Mus musculus: one gene and its partners. The protein of the gene in region 3 interacts with the protein of the main gene of each other region in a pairwise test. Links are inferred from orthologs where the notes say so. Each region holds a gene or a part of one and is shown on either strand. Other genes may lie near its edges. The genes, in order: Tle5, Ilf2, Trim27, Trim32, Atpaf2, Tcea2 and Bag5.

What was found.
Region 1: the proteins of Trim27 (region 3) and Tle5 interact in binary tests that used the Homo sapiens proteins (3 or more experiments, as listed by UniProt). The two-hybrid records come from large-scale screens. The link is inferred for Mus musculus from reciprocal best matches to the Homo sapiens genes TRIM27 and TLE5.
Region 2: the proteins of Trim27 (region 3) and Ilf2 interact in binary tests that used the Homo sapiens proteins (3 or more experiments, as listed by UniProt). The two-hybrid records come from large-scale screens. The link is inferred for Mus musculus from reciprocal best matches to the Homo sapiens genes TRIM27 and ILF2.
Region 4: the proteins of Trim27 (region 3) and Trim32 interact in a two-hybrid assay, tested with the Homo sapiens proteins (2 studies listed by BioGRID and IntAct). The link is inferred for Mus musculus from reciprocal best matches to the Homo sapiens genes TRIM27 and TRIM32.
Region 5: the proteins of Trim27 (region 3) and Atpaf2 interact in binary tests that used the Homo sapiens proteins (3 or more experiments, as listed by UniProt). The two-hybrid records come from large-scale screens. The link is inferred for Mus musculus from reciprocal best matches to the Homo sapiens genes TRIM27 and ATPAF2.
Region 6: the proteins of Trim27 (region 3) and Tcea2 interact in binary tests that used the Homo sapiens proteins (3 or more experiments, as listed by UniProt). The two-hybrid records come from large-scale screens. The link is inferred for Mus musculus from reciprocal best matches to the Homo sapiens genes TRIM27 and TCEA2.
Region 7: the proteins of Trim27 (region 3) and Bag5 interact in binary tests that used the Homo sapiens proteins (3 or more experiments, as listed by UniProt). The two-hybrid records come from large-scale screens. The link is inferred for Mus musculus from reciprocal best matches to the Homo sapiens genes TRIM27 and BAG5.

What each region holds. Positions count from the first base shown.
Region 1 is NC_000076.6:81,564,658-81,566,871, forward strand, and holds the end of Tle5 (TLE family member 5), read left to right. Parts: intron 1-15; coding exon 16-60; intron 61-155; exon of another isoform or gene 156-190; coding exon 191-253; intron 254-634; coding exon 635-709; intron 710-814; coding exon 815-1,036; 3' UTR 1,037-1,714; downstream 1,715-2,214. UniProt on the Homo sapiens protein: Transcriptional corepressor. Acts as a dominant repressor towards other family members. Inhibits NF-kappa-B-regulated gene expression. May be required for the initiation and maintenance of the differentiated state.
Region 2 is NC_000069.6:90,479,201-90,482,700, reverse strand, and holds part of Ilf2 (interleukin enhancer-binding factor 2), read right to left. Parts: intron 2,098-3,500; coding exon 1,993-2,097; intron 1,709-1,992; coding exon 1,631-1,708; intron 1,338-1,630; coding exon 1,235-1,337; intron 1-1,234. UniProt on the Homo sapiens protein: Chromatin-interacting protein that forms a stable heterodimer with interleukin enhancer-binding factor 3/ILF3 and plays a role in several biological processes including transcription, innate immunity or cell growth.
Region 3 is NC_000079.6:21,189,931-21,192,576, reverse strand, and holds part of Trim27 (zinc finger protein RFP), read right to left. Parts: coding exon 2,607-2,646; intron 2,486-2,606; coding exon 2,453-2,485; intron 1,985-2,452; exon of another isoform or gene 1,891-1,984; intron 1,358-1,890; coding exon 1,331-1,357; intron 548-1,330; coding exon 1-547. UniProt on the Homo sapiens protein: E3 ubiquitin-protein ligase that mediates ubiquitination of various substrates and thereby plays a role in diffent processes including proliferation, innate immunity, apoptosis, immune response or autophagy.
Region 4 is NC_000070.6:65,603,677-65,607,785, reverse strand, and holds the start of Trim32 (E3 ubiquitin-protein ligase TRIM32), read right to left. Parts: upstream 2,801-4,109; 5' UTR 2,717-2,800; exon of another isoform or gene 2,503-2,716; intron 2,471-2,502; exon of another isoform or gene 2,229-2,470; intron 1-2,228. UniProt on the Homo sapiens protein: E3 ubiquitin ligase that plays a role in various biological processes including neural stem cell differentiation, innate immunity, inflammatory resonse and autophagy.
Region 5 is NC_000077.6:60,403,580-60,407,034, reverse strand, and holds part of Atpaf2 (ATP synthase mitochondrial F1 complex assembly factor 2), read left to right. Parts: intron 1-1,157; exon of another isoform or gene 1,158-1,178; coding exon 1,179-1,259; intron 1,260-2,542; coding exon 2,543-2,655; intron 2,656-3,082; coding exon 3,083-3,198; intron 3,199-3,455. UniProt on the Homo sapiens protein: Plays a role in the assembly of the F1 component of the mitochondrial ATP synthase (ATPase).
Region 6 is NC_000068.7:181,678,852-181,683,096, reverse strand, and holds the start of Tcea2 (transcription elongation factor A protein 2), read right to left. Parts: upstream 2,801-4,245; 5' UTR 2,691-2,800; coding exon 2,622-2,690; exon of another isoform or gene 1,860-2,621; intron 1-1,859. UniProt on the Homo sapiens protein: Necessary for efficient RNA polymerase II transcription elongation past template-encoded arresting sites.
Region 7 is NC_000078.6:111,710,457-111,714,584, forward strand, and holds the start of Bag5 (BAG family molecular chaperone regulator 5), read right to left. Parts: upstream 2,801-4,128; 5' UTR 2,588-2,800; exon of another isoform or gene 2,071-2,587; intron 957-2,070; 5' UTR 932-956; coding exon 1-931. Other genes in the region: Coa8 (cytochrome c oxidase assembly factor 8), read left to right, coding at 2,837-2,962. UniProt on the Homo sapiens protein: Co-chaperone for HSP/HSP70 proteins. It functions as a nucleotide-exchange factor promoting the release of ADP from HSP70, thereby activating HSP70-mediated protein refolding.

The DNA of each region.
Region 1 (2,214 bases), on a different chromosome or scaffold from region 3:
CTCTCCACCTCACAGTACTATGAGATGTCCTACGGATTGAACATCGAGATGCACAAACAGGTAAGTCTCACTGTCCTCCTCCATGTCCTCAATGCCCTGTGATTCCCAGACTGAGCGTTAAGGCCACTCCCGTTACCCCCTCCCACCCCTCCAAGTGCCCCAGGTACTGAGGGAAAATCGTGTGTTCCAGGCGGAAATTGTGAAGAGGCTGAATGGGATTTGCGCCCAGGTTCTGCCCTATTTGTCACAGGAGGTAAGCAAGCCACCAGCAGGGGGCAGTGGGGTCCCCTCCGCACCTTGCTGAGCACTCCCTGGGCACGCACCTGCCCTTTCTGAGCTTAGCAAAGGTGAGACGTGGAGCAGCTGCACTCAGACCCCTGTGGCAAGGCAGAAAGAGCTCCCTGGGTGGGCGGGCACAGGCGATGGGAGCCCCCCCCCAGCTCTAAGGAAATTCCTGTGAAGTTGGATTCCTAGTCTCCCACCCCAGCAGCCCCTGAGCCCCTAGGACAGGACTTCTCTTGCGCTTTTGCACTGGTTGCCTACTGCACAGGAGTCGCCATTCCCCCGCCCCCGCCCCTCAGTCCCTTTCCAGCTTTGCCTGAGAGAACTCTGTCCCCTCCCTTGCCTATTCCAGCATCAGCAGCAGGTCCTGGGAGCCATCGAGAGAGCCAAGCAGGTCACGGCTCCTGAGCTGAACTCCATCATCCGAGTAAGTCGGAGCCTCTGGTGGACTGGGGACTGACTTGACCTGGGTGGCCAGGGTCAGGTGACAAGACCCTGGGCTGACTCTGTCACCCCCACCCCCACCCCACAGCAGCAGCTCCAGGCTCACCAGCTGTCCCAGCTGCAGGCGCTGGCCCTGCCCCTGACACCGCTGCCTGTCGGGCTCCAGCCACCGTCCCTCCCTGCAGTCAGTGCAGGCACAGGCCTGCTGTCACTCTCTGCTCTGGGTTCTCAGACCCACCTCTCCAAGGAGGACAAGAACGGACACGATGGGGACACCCACCAGGAGGATGACGGAGAGAAGTCGGATTAGCTCTTGGGGAAGGGGGAGGGGGGAGACCAGGGGAGACAGGCACAGAGAGCGCAGTGTTCTAAGGGCCACACAGCACACAGCTCTGTCACTACCCAAGCTTACACCTCCAGTCCTGGTTCTGGCTGTGCACCCTGGGCCTAGGGGACGCCAGAGGGACACCCCAGGCTAAGGGTTCTTCCCCACCTTCAACATTTCCCTGGGCCACAGCCACCAATCTCGGCCCAGAATGTACACAACGCTAGCTGCCCCTTTCCACCCTGTGCACCCCGAATCTGCCCCTATCCCCTTCTCTGCTTCCTGCACTGCACACCTGCTAGTCCCAGACCCCTCCCCCCAGCTCCCCCAGCTCCGGTTCCCTCAACCACAAAAGAAGGGGACAGAGAGAAAGCATTGGCTCGGGACTGCAGTGGGGGTGGGCACCCCACAAACTTCCCTCCCCTCTTCCCCAAATAAACGTGAGGGTTAAAAGTTGGTTTGTTTATGATTTCTTTCTTGTGCCAGTATTCTATAGCTATCATCTCAGAAAGGAAAAGAAGGAAGCCCCAGGAGTGTCTGTCATAGGGTTAGCTTTGTTGGTCGCCTTGGTCTCTGTCCAGAGGTCAAAGGCCAAGCCGCTGTACTGAGGATGGGGTCTAGCTGTGCCTTCAAAATAAAAACATGAAAAGGTTGGCCACTGTGTCCCTGCTTCTGTCTTGTGGGTGGGGACCCCTTTCCTCAGGGCACCCCGTGTCCTGCAATAAGACATCCCTGGAGCAACCAAAGACCCAGAGAGGGTGAGCTGGGGACCTGGGCCCAGACAGTGCAACTCAGTGCTCAGATTTCACACTGTTTTGGCAGGGTGGCTGTGGTACCCACATGGGTCCCTTGGTTACCTTCTGGGAGATGGCCTGGATGCTCCCTGTACCCCTCCCAAGCTAGGCTGTCCCCTGGGCATGCGCCTCGGTTTGGGGACCTTTTCCTTTCTTGTTTTTCTGAAACAGGGTTTTCTCTGTATAGCCCTGAATGCCCTGGACTCATTCCTCAAACTCACAGAAATTTTCCAGCCTCTGTTTTCCAAGGCCAGGGATTAGTCTTGTGTGCCACCTGTTTTCTTTATCTGCTTTGTTTTCTGTTTTGTTTTTCTGTTTGCTGGTTTATCATGTCTGTGTCCTGTTTGAGGACGCCTTGCAGGGATCTGT
Region 2 (3,500 bases), on a different chromosome or scaffold from region 3:
TTTATTTCATGTATGTGAATACACCATTGCTGTCTTCAGACACACCAGAAGGCAGCACTGGATCCCATTACAGATGGCTGTGAGACGCCATGTGGCAGCTGGGATTTGAACTCAGGACCTCTGGAAGAGCAGTCAGTGCTCTTAACCGCTGAGCCCGATTTCCTCTATTAGTAAACAACTTAGCATCTCTATTTCTACCCCACAGACTGAAGCTTACTCAACTAGAATGAACACTCTTACCAGTGTAATAAAAGCCTGGACAGAATTTGAATGACTCAGAATAAGAATTCTCGGGTATACACATCTTTTTTTCTTTCTCTTTTTTGGTTTTCTTTTGTTTTCGTTTTTTGAGACAGGGTTTCCCTGTGTAAAGGTAACCTCGATCTCAGATATCTGGCTGCCTCTGCCTTCCACGTGCTGGGACTAAAGGTGTACGTCACTATTACCTTACACATGTACACCAACAACAACAACAAACAAACAGACTGGTATGATGGTGTACACCTTTAATAACAACACTCAGAACATAGAGACAAGCAGATCTCTGCAAGCTGGAAGACAACTAGGGCTACATAGTGAGACCTTGTTTCAAAACAAACAAACAATAAGTAAATAATATATTTGCTATTTTCCTTCCATACATTCACACACAAATAATGACGAAATAAACAAATGAATCTGGGCTTCAATTATTACTAGCCTTAAATCTAATCTCAATGCTTAGGAAAGTGGGCTGGGGTGGCTGGAGAAATGCCTCAGGTTAAGAGTGCTTGTTCCTCTTGTAGAGGACCTGGGTTCAGTTCCCAACATCCATTTGATGGTTCATAATCATCTGTAACTCCAGTTCCAGGAAATCCAAAGCCCTCTTCTAACCTCCATAAGCCCAAGGCCATGCACATGGTATGCATACATATACATATACATATACATATACATATACATATACATATACATATACATATACATATACATATACATATACATACATACATACACCCTTAACAGTAATAGAAATAAATCCATTAAAATCTTTGAAAGAAAGAAAAGAAAAAGAGTGGGCTGAGACTCCTGCTAACCTCTGACCTACACTGACCTGACTGCTATGGCCACTACATATTCAGTAACAAACTCAAAACCTTGAGGAGCCCTGTGCTTTCAGGCATACCATGACAAGCTAGCATGCCCAAGGCCCTGTGCACCATCTCCAACGCAGAAAGATAAGAGATACACTTACATGTTGGCAGGATCTTTAGTATTACCACCAGGTCAGCCACATTGTGTCCTGTAGTCATTGTTCCCTTTTTATATGATCCTACCTGCCGGACTTCTTCAATTTGCTGTTGAAAGGGATTTCAAGTAAGTTTAAGAAAATAAAGGTGTTGAGTCCTCATAGAACCATTTCAGCTGCTTCTAAATACCCAGATTTGGAAGCAGCAATGATAAAATCACATCCCCCAGATAACCACAGAGAGCCCTGGGCATGGCTAGCTGACCAGTGATTTCTCTGTACTTTTCCATTTTAGGCTTTAATTTGGATAACAGACAACTGAAAGATTAACAGGCAAGAGCCAAGTAAATTTCCATACCACCAGAGATACCCTTTCTTAGAATTAAGTCATCAAAAACTCACCACTTCAAATGTTCCTGGGGCCACAATCAAGTTGTCAATCACATTGTTGATTTTTGTCACCAAAGAAAGGATGGAAGCCTGAAAACATCACAAAGCAAAAATACCCTAAGCCAAAAATTACACACAATATATATTTAATGTCATCATCATCACCAGACTCCCCACATACAATAAGAAGGAAGATGAATAATTACACACCCAGAGGAGTTTGGGCTCTGACAGCATTCTTGATGGGAATCAAACCTAAGGGCCTCAAGTGATTACCACTGGCTTATAATCGCAGGCAAGACAGCACTCTCCTTAACCAGAATAGGGTAGAGCGTAACTCGAGGCTTTTGACACAGCCCAAGGAAAGCACATACCTGCTCAGCAGAATTAGGGGCAAGGTCTTGATTCCTCTTCAGCAAGGCTTCACTGAAGGAGGTCTCATCAGGTGCTGGCTTGACCCGGGGAAAAGCCATTTCACACTAGACCAGAAATCAAATCATGTTATTTATCAAAAATAATTCATAGAAGAGGGACTAAAGAGCTGGCTCAGCGGTTTAAGAGCATTGCCTCCTCTTCCAGAGGTCCTGAGTTCAATTCTGAGTAACCACATGGTAGCTCACAACCATCTGTAATGGGATCCGATTCCTTCTTCTGGTGTGTAGATGTATGTGCAGACAGGGCACTGATATACATAAGCTACATACATAAATCTTTTAAAAAAAGGATCTCTGTGAGTTATTTGAGGCTAGCCTGGTCTACGGAGTAAGTTCCAGGACAGCCAGAACTAAGTACAGAAACCCTGTCTTGGGAAGAAAAAAAAAAATTGAGAAAGAAAATACATAAGATTTTTTTTTTTGATACTACAATAGGAAAAGAAAATTGTTATATCCTTGTAATCCCAACCCTTTGAAGAAAGAGACAGGAGAACTAGCAGTTCAAAACCAGCTTCATGAGATCTGGTCTCAAAAATATATAAACAGGACCCAGTGAGATAGCTTGGCAACAAAGGCCTAAGTCATCAATTCTGGGACCCACACAGAAAACTAAATCCTACAAGTTGTCCTCTGATCCATCACCACACACTTGCTGTGGTGTACATGTAGTACTGACTGTAATAAAAAGAACTTCTTAAATATAGAGGGACTAAAGAGATGGCTCAGACTGCTTTTGTAGAGGACCCAGGTTCAATTCCCAGTGCCCACATGGCAGCTCACAGCTCTCTGTAATTTCACTTCCAGAGGATCTAACACCCTCACACAGATTATATATGCATATGTATATAATATATAGTACATATATACATATAGAAAGAGGCAAAACACCAATGTATATAAAAGTATATCATTTTAAAATAATGAAAATAATAATAATAGAGGCTGGAGGGATGACTTAGCAGTTAAAAGCACTGGCTGTTCTTAAAGGGCCCAGGTTCAGTTCCCAGCACCCACATGGGTCTCACAACCACCAGTTAACTACAGTTCCAAGGAATCTAACTCCCTCTTCAGCTTCCTCTGGTACTAGGCATGTGTGTGGTACACATACATGCAGACACACACACATAAATCTTTAGAATTAAAAAAACAAAACAAAAAAAAAACGGGCCAGAGAGATGGCTCAGCAGTTAAGAGCACTGACTGCTCTTCCAGAGAACCTGAGTTTAATTCCCAGCAACCACATGGTGGCTCACAACTATCTGTAATCGGATCTGATGCCCTCTTCTGGTGTGTCTGAAGAGAGCAATGATGTACTCATATATATATATATATTTTTTTTTTTGGTTTTTCGAGACAGGGTTTCTCTGTATAGCCCTGACTGTCCAGGAACTCACTCTGTAAACCAGGCTGGCCTCGAATTCAGAAATCCACCTGCCTCTGCCTCCCAA
Region 3 (2,646 bases):
AACCCATCAATCCCACTCATAGGGCAGATGATCAAAGGAGCTGCGCTCTTCCCTCCCGAGTAGCTTAGGCTGAAGTAGGGCCGGACTGGCCCACAGAAGGTAGCGTGAGAGAAAGTAAAGGTATGGCATCTCTCTGTCACATTGTAGAAGGAAACCTCACCAGCATCATAGTCCAAGAAAATCCCTACTCTCTGGAGAGGGGTCCGCAGGGGTAGTGCAGTCATTGGGGATGTAAGAGCCCAATATTCTTTCCCATACCACAATGACACTGCCCAGAATCCATTCTGGGGGGCTGAGGTCACCCCACCTTTTCTGCACACCGAGTCTTCACAGACACCTATGGTCCACTTGGCTTTATCTCCCACCTCTACCTCCCAGTAATGTCTCCCAGCGATGAAACATGGAGAGCCCAAGACACAGGGAAACAGATTGAATCGCTCAGGGTTGTCTGGAAGATCCTGCTGGAGGTAACTGTACCGTACTTGCCGAAGATTATCAGAAAGAATCAGACTGGGATAGGCTGTGTCTGGGTCCAGGGTTACATCAACTGTAGAAACAAAGGGGGGGGGGTGTCATCTGAGGGCCAGAAGAGCCCACTCAAGACTACCTGGTATTTCACTGACTTCCCCAGAACACTGTAGGAGATGCCCACCAGAGGCTGTACTCATTATATATCAGACACACGGTGAACTGATTATGTAAAAAAATTCTCTTGGAACTAAGCATGGTGGCACACGTGGAGACTGAGGCAGAAGTTATCTTCAGGAGTTCCAGACCAGCCCATGTTGCATGGTCAGTGTTACATAGTAAGACCCTGACTCAGAACCTAAAAATTTACGGTTAGATTAGCTGATTGCCTCTGTATGGATAACAATGAAAGTAATACAATTTTACTTCCCACTCCTTTTCTCACATCTAAGGCTCAACCTCCTTCGGAGATTTCATTTAAAGCTTCTTTACATATGTCTAATTTCTGAATTTGAAAACTTTGGTGGCCAATAGTTTTAGCTAAAGTTTAATATTACCACCTTTCAAATCATTCTTGTATTTGTTCTGAGAATTTGCCTTGAACATCCACTCTTTTAAGTTTTTCCCTTTATCTTTTTTGAAACAGAAATCTATGTGGATTAACTAAGTAGCAAAAAAATGGCCTTAAACTCCTGATGTCCCTGCCTCATGTTCCCAACTACTGGGCTTCTGGCTGTATGATATCTGTGTATATGCAACTAAAGGATTCAAACTTGAGGCTGTCTCAAAGCACTTATAATAGTGGTCAGGCTCATAGGGCTTTTAATCCTTTCTTCAACATGGTTTGTCTTCAGGTACCTACCTGAGTATAACTGAGCCTCTCTCAACTCTGAAAGACAAGAGAGAAAAGAAGTTACTGAACCTGTGTGTCTTTCTAGGAAACATGTTAAGTGAAAAAACAAAAAACAAAAAACAAACCATAAAGCAGTGGAACCCACTAGCATTGCAGAACGCCTGTGTCAATTGGGTACTGATTTTCATTTGATGTTATGACTCCATATCTGCTTATCTGCCCAGGAATTTTTTTTTCTCTTTTAGAAAGACAGTCTTACTATGTAACTCAGGCTGACCTGAAACTCACTGTATGGCCAGGCTGGCTTCAAACTCATGGCAGTCACTGCTGATGAGCTGTGAGGTACTAGGTTTACAGGCATGCACCACTATGCTTTGCACATGCAAGGATTTTTAGGGTTAGGGGTTTGGGAACCTTGGCTATACAGATAACATGTATGAACTTTGTAAAACATGGTATCACACTGAGCCAAGATCAAGAATTCCACCCTCCAGAGAGCCACTGGATTCTGCAAAGGCAAAGTTCAAATGCATGACATATAATATATATAACTCTTAACTTGTACGAACCATCTTTGCTGTAGAGGCTGGGTGGCTCAAATGACACCCACTGCCATCATTAATTTATGTGGGGTTTCTAGCTGGCCAAGGATTTCACACAAGTCTTTGAAGTGGCAAAGGAAGAGGAAGAGAAAGAAGAATCAGATCAAGGAAAGCCACTTCTGGTTACTAGCCACCGAACTAAACGTAGCTGTGGATATGGCGCCACACCTGTAACCCCAGAGGCAGAAGGTCTGAGGCAGGAGACCGGTGAGTAATAGGCTAGACTGGGCTACACATTATGACTGTCTCAACCAAACCCAAACTAAAGCAACGGTGTCAGGTAGGGAAGCACATGAATAACGTGTGCGTGTGTGTGCGTGTGCGATCACAAATGTCATTACACACGTGGATTCTGTTCTTTCCTTATACCTTTGTATAGGTTCCAAGTAGCAGACTCAGGTCGACAGGTTTGCCCAGTAAGTGACTGCACTTACTGAGCTATCTTGTTGACACCCCCTGGACTGTCTATATACTCGCTTCTTTCCAAGAAACTTAAAATGTCAAGAGCTCAGGAAATAGGTAAATTTACCTTGGATCTTCTCCATATCTGACTGCATCTTTTCTAAAAACAAAAAAAGAAGAGATTCGGTTTATATGACTCTTAACTGGTTAGAAAATCCATCCTCAGATGACAATGATAACAACACACTCAGAATATAAACCCACTCTCTTCCTCATATTACCTGTGAACTGTTTTAGACTTTCTGTCAAAAACAGACATTT
Region 4 (4,109 bases), on a different chromosome or scaffold from region 3:
GGCTTGCCAGCATGTGACTTCTGATTTATATGCCCAAATTAGCCACTTGCTCTGTAACCCAGGATATGTCATTTAACAAGTGGCTCTTCACTTTCTGCCTTGTAGAATCAGGAGTAACATTTAGATTGTGGGCCTTATGGAGAGAATGCACATTAATCAGCACTCAGCCGAGCTCGCTGTGTTTTCAGACAGAGGCTGGCAAGTGCTTGACCACCAAGCAAGCAGTAAAACAGCCGATTCCACGGCCAACTCAACCTCCGTCAGGTGTTTTCCTAAGCGATCTGAGTTGATGTCATCGCAGCTAAGTGTTCTGCCCTCAGCTCCAGTCTAATTTTGTTCTCTAAACTGCCTTCTGTAGCGTAGCTAGGATTGGAGTTGATAAAGACAATGCTGCCCTTCTGTGCCAGAGACAAGATGCACAAAGGAGAACATTCAGAGCAGTTTCCTTCCGTCTAGCACTGCCCTTGAGCCTGAGCCCTCCTTATCTCAGCCGTGTAGCTCCAAGCTCCTTGCACTATCTCCCCATTGGCTCTGGTCTAAGAGCAAAGCAAGAACAAAGTCCAGGGCTTCTCTTAATCAAGAGAAGTCACCCAGCTTCTGACTACGGGGCAAGCCTCCCTTTCCTTAGGAGAGGCTGCAAAGGGAAGACCAAGCCGACCGCAGCAAACCAGCAATGGAAGAGAGGATGTGGCGGGGAGCTACATGGCAGGAATGTGGCTTTAGACAAGTGACCTCCTAAGCCTTAGTTTCGTGGGTAACACTGAACAGTGAATGTATATTTAGAAGGAATATCATGAGAAGAAAGCACACATATTTTCAAAAGTAGTAAATTCTGAGCACTTTTACTGGGCACCAAACAGTAAGCACCCTGATTTAGTACACTGAGTCCTCACAGCCATTCTATGACGTAGGTCCCTGAAGAGCTTGTGCACTGAGAGGTCAATTGACTCTTTAAAGGTTACAAAGCAGAAAGAGAAAAATAAATAAATAAATAAATAAACAAATAAATAAATAAATAATGCCAGGATCTAACCAGAGCATTCTTGACTCTGATGCCAGGACCCATTTTGGCATGACTGCCATTTCTAGCTAAATGATAGTTTATTGTAGGGGTTGTTCACTAGAAACCAGTATCCCCCCCCCCAAGTATCCCCCCCCCCACACACACACAACCCCTCAACTATGACAACTGACAATGCCTCCATCCAGACACGGTCAAATGTTTCCTGGCAGAACAAAAGCACCCTGTCTGAGAACCCTGGCTTTAGGTAATGGCACAGGCTAAATACTCAGTAGACAGGAGGCTCCGCCTTGTTCCAACCTTGTTTTGTTTCTCACCCAGAACCATTGTCTCTGTGAGCTATAATGGACCTCCTATAAGATAATATTAGGTTGAAGATCATTTTGGCTCATACCTTGGACAGGGAAAAGGCTAGGTAGCAGAAGCCCTTAGGTAGTTCACTGCTTCTTCCCCAAGGCCTATAATATCGGGTCTGTGATGAGGAGGTGGGGGTGGTCAGAGTGGGTATAGTCAGAATACATGCCTGCCTCAGGATTAAAGGGCCTTTAGTTAGTAAGTGAGGAAGAATCTGCCCTTCAAAGAATGTCAAACTCTCCTTCAGGATTTCTGAAGACTGGTGTCTTTATTCCCAAACCCTTACATTCTCCTAAATTCCATTCATTTATACATAGTTTATTTATAAATTACTTTCAGGTCCCTGGGTCTCCAGAAGACCCTCTGGGTTCAGTTATGCCAAGACCAAAACAAAAACAAAAACAAACAAAAACCTCCTAAGAACCTACTCACAAATTTCATTTGGTTTTGAATTCTATAATCTAGTTACAGCATTCACTCCCCACCATTCATTCTCCACAAACCTCATTCTCAACGCTAAATCCCAAATCTATCATTCAACCTTTTAGACTGTATGCTGCAGCCTTGCAATTCACCAATAGCTCTTATGTGTCCCTCATCCCTCCAATACATCCTTTAATCTATTTTCAAATTCCCACATCTATCACCCCTGTATGCCATCTCCAAACTCCAATCCTGTACCTCAGATTTCTGCCCTCCTTCAATCTGATCGCTCATCTGCCCATCATCCCCATCTTGTACTGGGCCACCTCCAACCCCCGCCCCCCACCTCCGCCCCCGTCCTGCCTCACGTGTTGCCTTCAAACCTTTGCTGCGATTTTCTAACTGGGTACTGATTCCCTCGGGAACTCACCCCTCAGTCTTTCCCAGATTCCGCTACAGAAATCCCTTTCTCTTCAGCAATTAGGATCTTCCAAGACCTTGGCTGTTTTGATCTCAGATCTTGCTATCATTACACCGATCTCCTCAAAGCCCCTAAGATTCTGCCCGCCAACACCCAACCTCATCCAGGCCTGCCAAATTCCTTTATGCTTTCTGATATTCTGCACCCAGATACCTCCAGGGACGTCAGATCCTCCCATCTCCCACATGCTGCACCCCGTCTCTCCGCATGGCCCCCACATTACCTCATACCTCCCGACATGCTGCAACTGCAAATTTCCTCAGCCCCTTTGCTCCCCTCCCCCAGCTGCATCTCATCTCCGCCGAATCGCTCCTGAGCCCGTCCCTTCCGAATCCGATCCTGCCACTCCGATCCAGTCCCCAAATCCTGCCATTCAATCTTGGATCCCCGCGACCCACCACAGTCCCTGGTCGCAGACCCTCCTTCCCGCCCCCTACCTGACCGCCCGCAGCTCCGACGCGAGTCCACCGCTGCCAGCCCACCCGCCCGCTGCCTTCTGCGCATGCGCTAGCACGTCCTTCCCATGGCAGTCGCCAATTCGTACAGTCGCCTGCCCGTCAACTTGCCCCGCCTCCCGAGGCATGCTGGGGCTTGTAGGTCTGTGGGCTCAGCGCCCGCGGCCCAGCTGAATAGATAGGGATGGCTCCGGAAACCTAGGCCATTGCAGCTTTCTGCCCCGTTTCAGAGTCTAAACATGGTTAGTCAATGCTAATCCCCCAGTAGTAGTCTCCAGAAAGTTCGGGCACTTTGCAGACAGACGCCTCTTTGAAGAAGACAAGCACACTCCCTTCAAAGAGCTGCAGGTCCCCGGGCTAGGTGTTTCTGCCTGTGACACATCCCAAAGTGGAGTCACTGAACACATGCCCCTTAGGAAAGACGTTTTCTTTGCCAAACAGCGCAGAGGCGGATAGCAGAGGGAGAAACAGGGAAAAGCCTGCATTGAGCCTTGTCAGACGGGAGGTTTTGTGGCCAGGACCTCCTGGTCCTGAAGGTAGTTTGTGGACAGGTAATACCTGCTCCTGAATGCGATAAACACACAGTACTAGTGAGGAATATGAAGGAATCTGAAATATTATGCTCTCATATTTGAAATTCCACCTAGCTGTGTACCCTCTGCACAATGATAAGACAACAAAACAAAAACAGTAATACCTTTAGACACTTTCCGACAGACTACAGACTTTGAAAAGAAGCTGAGACCTAGGGGTTAAAAGGCAAAGTAACCAGTTTCTACCTGTCAGAACCTGGCTTTAATTTCCCAGAATCACTCTTAACTTCATTTTTCTACTTCTTTATCTCAAAATAAAGTTAAGGATTGTTTTGATGAGTTACTAATAACTCAGAAAGGTGGGAAAAGTAAATTTATCCCCTTCCCCCACCTCACTCCCGCCCCTGTCCCACACATCTTGTCCAAGGTTCGGTATACACCTGGCATCGATTTTGATGGAACTCTGAACCAGGCTATTCATTCTCCAACTTGTTTCTCTTCTCAGTGATTCAGGAGTTCTCACATGATTTTATCCCTGGCCGGATTTCCTGATTATACATTCTGAGTACAATTTGATATCTCAGATAATTCTAGAGCCCTGAGCCAACCCAGGCACCCAGAACTCCCAAGGCTTTCCCAGAGAATATGTGACTCAAAGTTCCTTGAAGAAATTATATCTGTGCTGGCAATTCTATGGACTGACCAAATACCTAGAACTGGGAAAGGATAAAACATATTGTAGACACATAGTCAATTTATCTTGGGCTAGCTTTAGTTCTCTTAATGGCCATTTATTAACAACCTATGACTCTGGCCTAACAATCTTCTGACTATAAGGTAAA
Region 5 (3,455 bases), on a different chromosome or scaffold from region 3:
GACCCATTGGCCAACCCCCAGCAGCACATCTGGCCCTCAATGTGTTCATGTATTAGCATCCCTGTCATTACAAGTGGCAATAATCAGGGGCCAGTCTCTCCCAATTCTGAATTCTCCCCTGTGTCTGTATTTGCTTGTTGGAGAGTGATAGTAAAGGAACATCAGAGAAACAGCTGAATGATTGCGCAGTACTGGGCCTGCTGGCCCTATTACTCAGAGGCTTGGAGTCACCCCCCACCCCCAGGGATTGCTTGGCATGCTAGCATAGGTACTCTGAAAAGAAGGGAGTAGGAAAGCCTACTCTGTTTTTGCTAGGGAACAGTGGCTTGCAGGGAACAGAGTTCATTCTGCCTCCCTTTGGTAAAGAAGGCTTCTTAAAAACTATACAGGGTTCCAACAAATAAACAAAGGCAGTTGGACCAAGTTCTACCTGCCTCCACTCTTCAGGTCCAGGATTGGGTAGGGAGGAAAGGCTTCCTGCTCTGCTCTCAGCAGCTCAGCTTCTCTGCATTCTCCTCTGCTTACAAACTAGCTTTCTGTGGTGCCCTAGGGTTCCCATCCATGAGACTGTGCAAGTTAGCGCCTATCAACTGACCCTTCTGTGTCTTTATCAAAATGATTCTGTGGTGATCCCCTTGGGAAAAGGAGCCACTCCAGGAGGTGGCTAGGCTCTTGAGGTCAGCAGGCATTTGGTCCTTGGTCAGGAGCAGGGGCTGTCACTGAACTTGTAGCACAGCACTGTGTCCAGTGGGTATGGATCCCATTTTTATTGCAGGTCTGCTTTTGAGTAGCACTAACATGGGCTAGTTTGGACCTGTCAAGTACTTGGGAACTGGAAGGTAGTGGATTGCAACTCAAGCTACAGTAAAAGTCCCTGGAGGGCATGTGGGAACATGACCAGAACCCCAGAGGTTCTGCTTGTCATCAGTGTGGGATTTATCTAAGAAAGTGTCCAGGTAGTGAGCTTCTGAAGGGAGGCTAGAGCTGGTGCTACTGGCCCAAGTGGTTCCTTTACCCCTTGGCTACACTCTGAGCACCATGGCTTTATGGGACAAGACTTAGGAAGCTGGGTTGTTGGTGTAAAGTTTTTGCTTTTGCCCTTTGCATTTTCCTTTTCTGTCCCTCAATGAAGGACTTGTACTTTTTTATTAATGAAGGTGGTTTTTACAATGAATTAGCTACAGGGTGGAAGAGCCAGAGACATTAGTGGAACTTCAGAAGAACGAATGGGATCCCGTCATAGAGTGGGCTGAGAAAAGGTAAGGTGTGCAGCCCCACATGGAGCGTTGAATAGACCTAGGATTGGGTTGGGTGCTGGGGTCAGGGCCACACAGTACAGCTGCAATCTCAGGCTGCCTTCCTGAGCTTAAGCTCCCTCAGGTATTGAGAGGTAGGGGTTACCTTGTTAAACACGTTCCTCAAAATCATTTTGGTCAGGCTGGAGAGATGGCTCAGCGGTTAAGAGCACTGACTGCTCTTCCAGAGGTCCTGAGTTCAGTTCCCAGCAACCACATGGTGGCTCACAACCATCTGTAAAGGGATCCGATGCCCTCTTCTGGTGCTGTCTGATGTCAGCTACAGTTTACTCATATACATGAGATAAATAAACTAAAAAAAAATCATTTTGGTCATTGTGTCCCAAATAACTGCTACTGGGGCATACCATGACAAATGCAGGGGCAGCTCTAAGTCCCCAAGAAGCACCAAAGGCCCCAGCTCTCTCCCCCAGCAGGTCTCTGAGCCTTGGTTTGTTTGACTTGCAATGGACTAATCCAGCCTGCCTGCAAGGCTAATTGGGGAAGGTAAACCAGCAAAGAAAGCACTTAGCACTCAACTCAGCAGAGGTAACAACTCAAATTTTGGTTTTTAAAAAACTTTTTCATTATTATTATCTGTATTATCATTGCTGCACTACTAAGTAAACGTGACTATGTAAGATACACGTGTGCATAGACAGAGGTCAGGGTAGCTTCCTGCAGCATTGTGAACACTATTTGTGGATGTGTGGCTTCTAGAGATTGATAGTACTCAACGCTTTCCTTAACACAAGGCTCCAGTAAGTACAGAGTTGAACAGATGTTGATAAGGTAGCAAAATAAATTCAGCGTCAGCTCTTTCCAGGTGGAATGGGAAGGGGTAGTCCCCACGGCTCTGCCTTGTCTGCAGGGTTGTGGAATAAATACCTAGGTGATTTTCCTTCTGTTGTAACAATTTTCACAGAACTTATCACTTGTTATACATTTCCTGAGTCCTCACAATGACCCAGGCATCCTGTGAGGGACTATTTTCATTTGTTTGTTTGTTTTGATTCTTTGAAATAAGGTCTCACATAATCCAGGCACACTGGCCTTCTGCCCGTGATCATCCTGCCTCAGCCTTCTGAGTGCTGTGATCATAGGTGTGCACCTCCATGCACTGCCATCCTGAGGAAAGCACATGCGCCATATCTGTTGGTTTGGTTTGGTTTTTTGCTTCTGGTTAAAAGTTAGACTGCTTTTGGGGAACAGTGTGCCAGAGACATGCTCATGCCTTCCCCTTATAGGTACGGTATGGAGATCGGCTCCTCCACCAGCATAATGGGACCCAGCATCCCTACCCAGACCCGAGAGGTGCTTACCAGCCACTTGTCCTCTTACAACATGTGGGCTCTGCAAGGTACAGTTTGGGCTTCATGGGCCTAGAGGGTTGGGTACCTAGTGACACATCCCTCTTGAGTCCTCTTGAGCATGGAGGCTGGGTGGCTTTGATGTCCTACCCCTTTACTTAGTTCTCCAGGGTCACATAGCCTCCAAGAAAAGTCTGGACTTCGTGTATCATTAGTTTAGACCCATATAGCCATCTTTTAACCAATCATGGAGTGGGGCCTGGGGGATATGCCAATTAGCCCCGTTCAGGTCATATACTTATCCAAGAAAAGGCAGAGGTGAGTTACCCCAAGACAAGGAGGAGTATTCTGTCAGGAGAGTGTGTCAAGCTCAGGTGGGTCTTAGGATGGTGCCTCCTACCCCCTGTCCATGAGGGAATAGAAACTGACAGGCAGTAGGCTATCAGTTCTGACTGGGCTTGTGTCCCCTACCCCTAGGGATTGAGTTTGTAGTGGCCCAGCTCAAATCCATGTTGCTGACTTTGGGCCTGATTGACTTGCGCCTGACTGTGGAACAAGCTGTGCTTCTGTCACGCCTGGAGGAAGAGTACCAGGTAAGTTCTGATCTCAGTTCCCACCTTAACCCTTTCTGATTCAGATTCATTGAATTTTATTACTTTGTACATGTAAAAAAAAAAATCAAACTAAGGAACAGTAAAGATTGCTCAGGCTAAGGGTATGGCTCACTATATGCTAGAGTATGCTAGCCTAGTATGCTCTGGGCCCTGGGTTCCATCATCAGCACCACACACACACATACCCATGCATGTGAAAGGGTTCAGAGTTGTTCAGTACTCTCCTCGCCCCCCAA
Region 6 (4,245 bases), on a different chromosome or scaffold from region 3:
AAGGCCAGCCTGGCCTACAGAGTGAGGCCAGGAGTTCCAGAATGGCCAGGATTACACAGAAAACACTTGTCAGGGGGCATAGTGGACAATCCTACCTCTTTGTCATCACCAGGGGGCAACTTACATGTCAGAAAGAAGCCACTCCTCTACCCTGAGATTCCCAGAGCACTCCATACCTGTTCCTACATCACAACAGGGGCTTTTTACTGCTCCTGCCATAGGGCAGGAATAGAGGCAAACAGCTCAACAGTGCTCTCCTCAAAGATCAGGGGGTTTCTCATCCTGCATCTACGGTGATCTCCAGACATCATGGTAACTAACCACAGGAGGACACTGAACAAACTACTAGAGAAAATAAATGCCCCAACTCCTGCTCAACACGGAAGGACATTCACGGGTATAGCACGGGTTCTTTAACCTTGGTCCATCTGTGCTGTGGTGGGAGAGCAGCCTCTCCTCAAAGCGCCTACCCATCAGGGCAGCACTACTCCTGGGTACTGTAACAGACAACCCTGGCTGCCTTCCTCTGCCCTGGCTTTTCCCCAGCATCTACAGGCAGGCTGCACCTCCAGAGTAGGCAGGCTCTTCCTGTTCCTACCTTAAAAGCCTCTACCTAAACTCTCAGGAATCTCTACTCCAGCCACAGATTTGCAAAGTAACAGCACCATAGCCAACAAGGTTTATCAGAGGCACAATTATTGCTAATTGAAAACTACCAAACCTGGTGACACAGGCCTTATCATCTCAGAGATACTTAGGAGGCTGGGGCAAGAGGATCAAAAGTTCAAAGCTTACCTGAGTTTCAGAGTGAATTCAAGATTAGCATGGGCATCTTAATGAGACCTTGTCTTAAAACAAAGTAAAGAGAGGGCTGTGTAGACACAGCTGTGATAAAGCTCTCACTTGGTAAGTTAAGGCCCTGGGTTCAATACCCACTATCAAAGGGGTGGGCAGGTGAGTTGACTCAGCAGATAAAGGTGCCAACAAGCTGTACAACCTAAGTTCAATCTCCAGAGCCCAAATGGTGGGAGGAGATAACCAATTTCCAGGGGTTGTCCTCATACTTACACACTCACCGAGATAACAAATGTAAAATAAATAAAATTAAATATACAAAGGGAAGTTTTTCTTAAAGCCAGCACCTACAAATCCCATAGTCTCACTTTTTATCTCTTTTCCAGACTGGTCACCACCCTCCTCCTAGGTACTGTAACAGAAAACCCTGATTTTCTTCCTCTGCCTAAGCTCTGTTCTTTGAACCTCAAGGGTAGGCAGGCTCCTCTGGTTCCTACCTTAAACCTCACTCTGCTTAAGGCTGCTCTTCTCTTTACCACTTCCAGGTTATATTCAAACACCTCCTTCCTACAACTGAGACAGCCTTTTCTTCTAACACCCAACACTATTGTGTTTGCTGTCCTCCAAGTTTCCACTATGAGCTCATTTGTCTTTATATGCCACAAAGAGGCAGAGAAAACCAACCCATCCAGCCGTGGTAGGGGCTGGGGCTGACCCTTCAATCTGTGTGACTTATCTGCTCAGGCTGCAGCCTTGTTTCATGGCCCTAAGTTAGTAAGCTGTACACCAATCAGCCCTGAGGTGGCTGACTTTGCTAAGAAGACCTGATCCTTGGAGCCAGGGGCATGCATCCACAATAGCCCTGCACTCCCATAATGAAAACCCAGATAAACCATCAGCTGTTCCAAGGAGCCTCTCTCAAGGACTACTGGAACCTCTGCAGGTTCCCTTCTCAACTGTACAGTCCTATCTGTGGCCTTCCATCCTTACTGGGTCTCCCTTTGGATTCCCATCCTATCTCTGCCACCCTTAGTTCCAAGTTTGTCATTTGTGCTTTCTCTTACCGGAAAGAAGCTCCAGCAGGGCCTCTGTAGCCCAGATGATTGCAAAGTGGGTTCTGTTTCCAGTGTAAAGGCTTATGTGGGCACTTAACCTACTTCCTGTTTTAGACCCCAGCCCTCCAACCCCTAGAGCAATCCTGCTCATCCCCAAAAGCTGTCCTGCAGCCTTCTACTTCAAGCACAGTCCTGGGGAGGCTGTACAGACTCATGACTCAGCCACTATCTGGGCTGCCCTCAGAGCGGTGCTGCGGATGCTCTAGAGTCACTCAGTCTTAAAGCCACCTCCTAAGTCCCTTCCCACCCACGGAAGGCAAGATTGCAGGTGCCATCATCCCCTAAGGATGCTCCTCAAAGGCTACGCAGGTGACCATGGTCGGAAGGCAGGCTGGACTGCCAAGCCCACACTGGCCAGGGGTCTCAACGCCACAGGCTCAACTGTCTGCCCAAACCGACTTGCTGTTGCCTGAGGCCTGACTAAGCAGGGGAAAAATTTATTAAGAGAAACCTGGTGCTGAAGGGTGGGGGGCAGACAGGGGAGACAACGGCTGGGCCAGGGACGCCCGCGGCCACCGCTGGGCGACGAACAGAGGGTAGCTTTCGGTCAACGCGGCGTCCATTGCGAAGCGGCAGTCCCAGGACAGGGTGGAGGGCGGGCCTGGGCAAGGGGTCTCGACTGACTGGGCTAGGTATCACTCTGCCCGAGGGTAGGCTCAGACGGTCTCCGCGGAGCGGGGCCCCAGGGTCCTGGCGGCCCGCGCCCCTCACCGCGTTCTTCCTGGTCACCATTTTGTCCAGCCTCCGGGCGATACGAGCAATCTCTTCCTCCTTGCCCATCACTACCTCGGTGGCGGCGGGTTGTGCCGGTTGCGCCGCCCGGCCTGACCTCGGCCGCCGCCGCCGCCTAGATCCGCGGTCCAAACCTCCGCCTGGCGGCCGCGTGCGACAGAATTAAAAAAAAAAAAAAAAAAAAAGAGTCCCCGCCCCCGGGACCACAACTCCCAGACGACTGCGCGGCCTGCGGCCTGCGGCCTGATTGCCCGCTGGAAAAGGTAGTTCCGCAGGTATCTCCGCCGGACCACGGCCCCACGTGCCCACCGAATGCCAGGGGGAGGGAGGACCTAGAGGAGGGAGAAGGACAACCCTACTGCGCTCAGGTCTTTAATTCAACCCATCTGAGCAGCTTGCCCTGGCGGCCGGTCGCGCCTTCACTAGTGCACTTAGATCGCCTCCACTTCCGAGAGTCACTCAGCTCACTCCACACACTTCACTTGGTACCAAGCCGAGTTTGGGGGCTTTCTTGGCGCTGCGCAGGTGGCCGGGACTCTGAAACGGTTTCTCCGCAAGAATTCAGGCTTTAGCCAAGCAATGTAGGCTCATGCCTTTTTAATCCCTGCACTCGAGAGATAGAGAGTCAAGCAGATCCCTGTGAGTTCAAGGTCAGCCTGGTCTACAGAGCTAGTTCCAATACATTCAGGGTTACACAGAGAAACCCTGTCTCGGGGGTGGGGGGTGGGAGTGGGGAGAACTATTCAGGTTCTGAAGTCAACCTAACGGTATAAACCCCAAGTTCTGCACATTGTTGTACGTCTCAGTCTCCCAACCTGTGAAGTGACAATGACAGAGGCTGCGATCAGGAGCCTCCGATTCATATTTTACACTGAGAACAGGGCAGGGTACTGAGGCAATCCGCTACTGAGGCATTACCTCAGGAAGACCCTAACCACGTCCAGGAAAGGGAGAATGGTGCTCTGCTCTTCTTCTGTCCTATACATGGTGGCAGGTGTGCTGGTACTAAAAGTCAATCTGAATTTTTTTGTACCCAGGAGGCCAGAGTGCAAATGACATACACAAATGACCTAAGCTGACCGTTTTAATCAGTTATGACATCTTTACCATAAGAAAAAGGCATGGAACTTCTTGAAGGCAACAAAGCTTTTCCAGAGGTGCAGTGATGGCTGAACCCAGCTCTCTAGTTTCATACCACCTCTCATTCTGCCCTTTACTGAGAGCTGGGCCCTTGCTCTAAGCTAAACCCAACAACAACAACAAAAATTCTGGGAAAGGGAACCCTGTGTTTGAGTACTGAATTAATGCTTTCAGGACCCTACCACAAGACAGGCAGTAAGAGAACCACAGGACCTTCAGCCATGCTGTGTTTGGCTGATGACTTGACCCCATCAAGGGACTGCCTACTGAGTAGTCCCAGCTCTGACTGGTCCCAATGATGAGCAACAGCAGCCTGTAGGTGGCAGGAGCCACCCACAGATCTGCTCAAGAACAGGCTCTTTCCTGAGGAAAATCCAGTAGATCACCAGCAGGGGAGCTATGTCACAAGAAGCCAGATCAAAGGTGTGTTCAATCCTGAGGGGTCCTTACTTGTGGGGTTGGT
Region 7 (4,128 bases), on a different chromosome or scaffold from region 3:
GCAGCTCTGTCTTGGCCCTCAGGTACAACTCAGGAGGGCTCTGCGCCTGGAGAAGTTCATTTTTTATCTCTCTCATCCTCTTGAGAACATTTTCTATTTTTATAATGGAATGGTTCTGTCCCAGGTCAAATGCATGTGTACTGTCAGCTTCCTCTTCTAAGTCTAGGTATTTCAGTAATTTGTTGATATCTTCCACCACCTCCCTCCGATAATTTCTGATCTCTGTACGCCCACACACATCTAGAGCATCTAAGTCAGCAATCAGTCCTGACAGCACGCAGGATAAGTGCCTGCAAGTCTCGGAACTGTCCACGCCCATCAGAAGTGCGATCAGCGTCCCTCTGGCCTTGTTCACCTCGCACATGACAGAGTTGATTTTGGCCACTGAAGGATGCACATCCTCAGACAGTGGCAGGGACGGCTGCTTCTTCATACAGTCCTCAATAACCTCCTGTACCGCGCAGATCTTGGTGAGCGTGCGGTACCTGGCTTTCCGCAAGGAGACCTTCCCTCCGGTCTTCACGTGCGTCAGCCTCAGAATGATGTCCTGGATGCCTTCCTCAAACTCGTCAGTCACACAGTTGCCTCCGCTGTAAAAGGGCACAATCTTGTCTTTCACAAGGGCCTGAGCCTCCTTAAAGATATTCTGGATTTCGATGCGGTGTGGGTGGTTGGCATTCTGCTCCAACTCCTTGAGGAGACGTTCTGTCTCCTGTGCCGCCCGCTTCCTAGCTTGCTGGATATCTCCTTTTCCTTCCGTATCCACAGAGTCAATTTCAAAAAGTTGTTTGGTCAGAATCCTCTCCAGCCTCTTGTAGTTCTTGTCATCCGACAGGCCGCTGAAGCCGACCACTTGCGGCTCTATAGCCTTTACTTCCCGCTGGATCTCCTGAAGCCTACTAATGGAGGGGTGTTGGTTTCCCATATCCATACTTCTGTGTTCAGTTTCACAAGCACTGAAAGATAGCAAGAATGATAACGTATTAGTCTCTGCAGGACAAGAACCCACTCTAAACACTCCTTCTTAGTACACTTGTTAAAAGGGCTCATTCGGGCTGTGGAGATAATTTTTCATCAAGTGTCCAAGCTGGAATTCCAGAACACATGTGGAAAAAAAAAAGCTGGGGCGGAGCTGGAGAGAGGGCTCAGTGGTTAAAGGTGCTGGCTAGAGGACCTGGGTTTGATTACCAGCACTCACATGACAGTGCATGACCACACAGGTAACCCCAGTCCCAGGGCATCTGATTCCCTTTCTGTCTTCAGAGGCACCAGGCACACAGTGATGCACAGACATCCATGCAGGCGAAGCGCCAACGCCCATGAAGTAAAACAGAAAAGCCAGGCAAGCCAGTGCCGGGGAGACGGCGATAGATGGATCTCGTGATTCACTGGCCAGCCCAGGTTAGCCTAACCGAGGACCTTCAGGACCATGGGAAGCCCCACTTCAAAAGCCAAAGTCAAAGGACACCAAGGAAATGATGGTGGGCGGGCAGGGAGGCCAAACTCTGGCACCTGGGCATGCACCAAAATACACAAAAGGTTTCGTCAAAGGTGTAAAAGGTTGCTTGAGGAAAGGGAAGATGTGACATGTCAACTCCCTCTCCTGAAAACAGCTGGACAGGAACAAAACAAAGCAAGCTCACCGGTGTGCTGGTGTATCCCTACAATCCTAGCGTCGGGGATACAGAGGAAAGGGAACTACGAATTCAAGATCACCATGGGCTACTTGGTGACCCTAAGAATTCAAAGCAAAACGGAAATAGGGGAACACGGTAGGGATTTGAACGACAGACAGAAGGTCCTCATGATCCAGCCTGGGTGGATGTCTAGGCCTATGAATTCTGTCTTAAACCATGAGAGCGAGCTGCGTACACTGCCATTCTAGTCAACCCACCAGGTTAGCAACACAATTTCCTTAGATCCCCCCCCCCCCCATCCTAATCTACTCTCTGGAACCAGTTTGGAAGTTAACAGTAGCTCTTCCACACTCACAGGAGCACCATTCGTCCAGACAGCTAGCTAACTTTCTACTTTTCTGAAAGAGGAGCTACGAAACTTCCAAATCCTCACCCTGACTTCAAATACCCGCCGCCCAAACCTGCCGACTGCGATTAACTCGGTCACTCGCCTCCCGGTATGTGCGCTTAGAGCATTTCCCACGCTCTCAGGTTTCTGTCAAACAGCTCACTTCTGGCGGGCAGGCCACAGAACTCAGTCCCCGGGAGGGTCCAAGCCCGGCCCTCGCAGAGCTTTTACCCCGGGAGGTCTGGGCGGCGGCGGTCTTGGCTGCCGCGGGGGGCTGCGAGGTGGGAGATCGGCCCTTCACGGGGAGCGGCACCGCAGCGGTGCCCCCAGCGGCATCCCCCCTCGCCCTTCCCGGCTAGGTCTGACCCGGGCAGCCGGTGAAGGGGCCGGCGGAGGCGGCGGCAGCTACTGGCCGCGGCGGCCGCTCCCGGGTCTCGGCCCGGCCGGACGCGCCGCCGCCTGACCTCACAATGGGCGCGCGGCGGGCGCGGGCCTGCGCAGCGAGGGCGGCGGAGCGCCCGAGGCCGGGAGAACGGAGCTCGCGCCCTCGCCCCACGCTCACCTGGGCCGCACGCGCCATCGCGCCCCGCCACCTACACTTCCGCAGCGTTGTCGCCGTCCTCGCAGAGCGGGCCCGTCAGCAGTGAGCCCGGGGAAAACTTGTCCTCTCCTCGTCCCGCGCGGGCCCCGCCGCCCGGCGTCCGTCCCAGGGAATGCGCACGGTCGGCCTCGCCGCGCGTCGGCTCGGGCTTTGCGACGCCGCCGTAACGCCAACCTTTCCACTGTCGCGATCCTGCCGTACGCGCGGGCCATGGCGGCTTTGCGGCCCGGAAGCAGAGCGCTTCGCCGGCTTCTCTGCCGGTCCTTCTCCGGCGGCGGCGGCGTTAGGTTGGCCCGTGAGCGCCCTACGGATCACAGGGATGCGGCGTCCAGCCGGGTAAGCGGGACGCCGGGGGCGCTGGCAGGGAGGAAGGCCGCCGAGCAAACCCACGCCGCCTGCACCTCTCCGACGGACTGATGATCACTGCCCGGGATCCGCTGTGGAGAGCGCGAGCCTTGCTTATCCCCGAGTTAATTCCCATTTGTATTAACACAGCTCTTGAAGGGTGTTCTTTCTCATTTTCGCATCGTTAAGATTAGTGTTCGACTTAAAGCCGTGGCTGACTTCATCATCCCACTTCTGTAGACTTCGCATTGTTTGTAAACGTGCACGCGATGTCAGAGATCCACAGTGCAGGTCTGCAGCAAGAATGGGCGTGAAGCCTTTTTCAAAAAAACAATTGCTGGGCTGGAGAGATGGTTCAGCTGTTAGGAACACCGAAGACAGTAACAATGCACTCACATATATAAAACTAAATAAAGCTTTTTTTTTTTAGTCAGTTGCACTTCTTTTTTTTTTTTTTTTAAGATTTATTTATTTATTATATGTAAGTACACTGTAGCTGCCTTCAGACACTCCAGAAAAGGGAGTTCACATCTCGTTACGGATGGCTGTGAACTACCATGTGGTTGCTGGGATTTGAACTCTGGACCTTCCAAAGAGCAGTCAGGTGCCCTTACCCACTGAGCCATCTCACCAGCCCTCAGTTGCACTTCTTTGCAACAGAATGCTTTGCTTAAGGAAGGCCTAGGTTGCCAGGCGTGGTGGCCCACGCCTTAATCCCAGCACTCGGGAGGCAGAGGCAGGCAGATTTCTGAGTTTGAGGCTAGCCTGGTCTACAGAGTGAGTTCCAGGACAGGGCTACACAGAGAAACCCTGTCTCGGGAAAAAAAAAAAAAGGCCTAGGTTTAGAGTCTATCAGTCATATGAAAACGCTAAGGCTGGAGGTAAAACATTAATCAGTGGCTACTAACACTTCAATGACCACTAAGCTAGTGATAGAGACTAGAGAGCTTGGTTTAAGCAATAATGAAGAGAGGGAAGGAGGGATGAGGAGAGAGAAGAGAGATGGAGAAAATTAAGAATTGCAAAATGTGCTTGCTGTGAAAATTTTCATCTCTGCTATGCTGTGTCTCCTTGCACACTTTTAGCTTTGAAGTTCTGACTACTCCAGTTTAGATTTGTTGCCTTAGGACCCTGGCCTCTGGCTCAGTTTCCTGGCA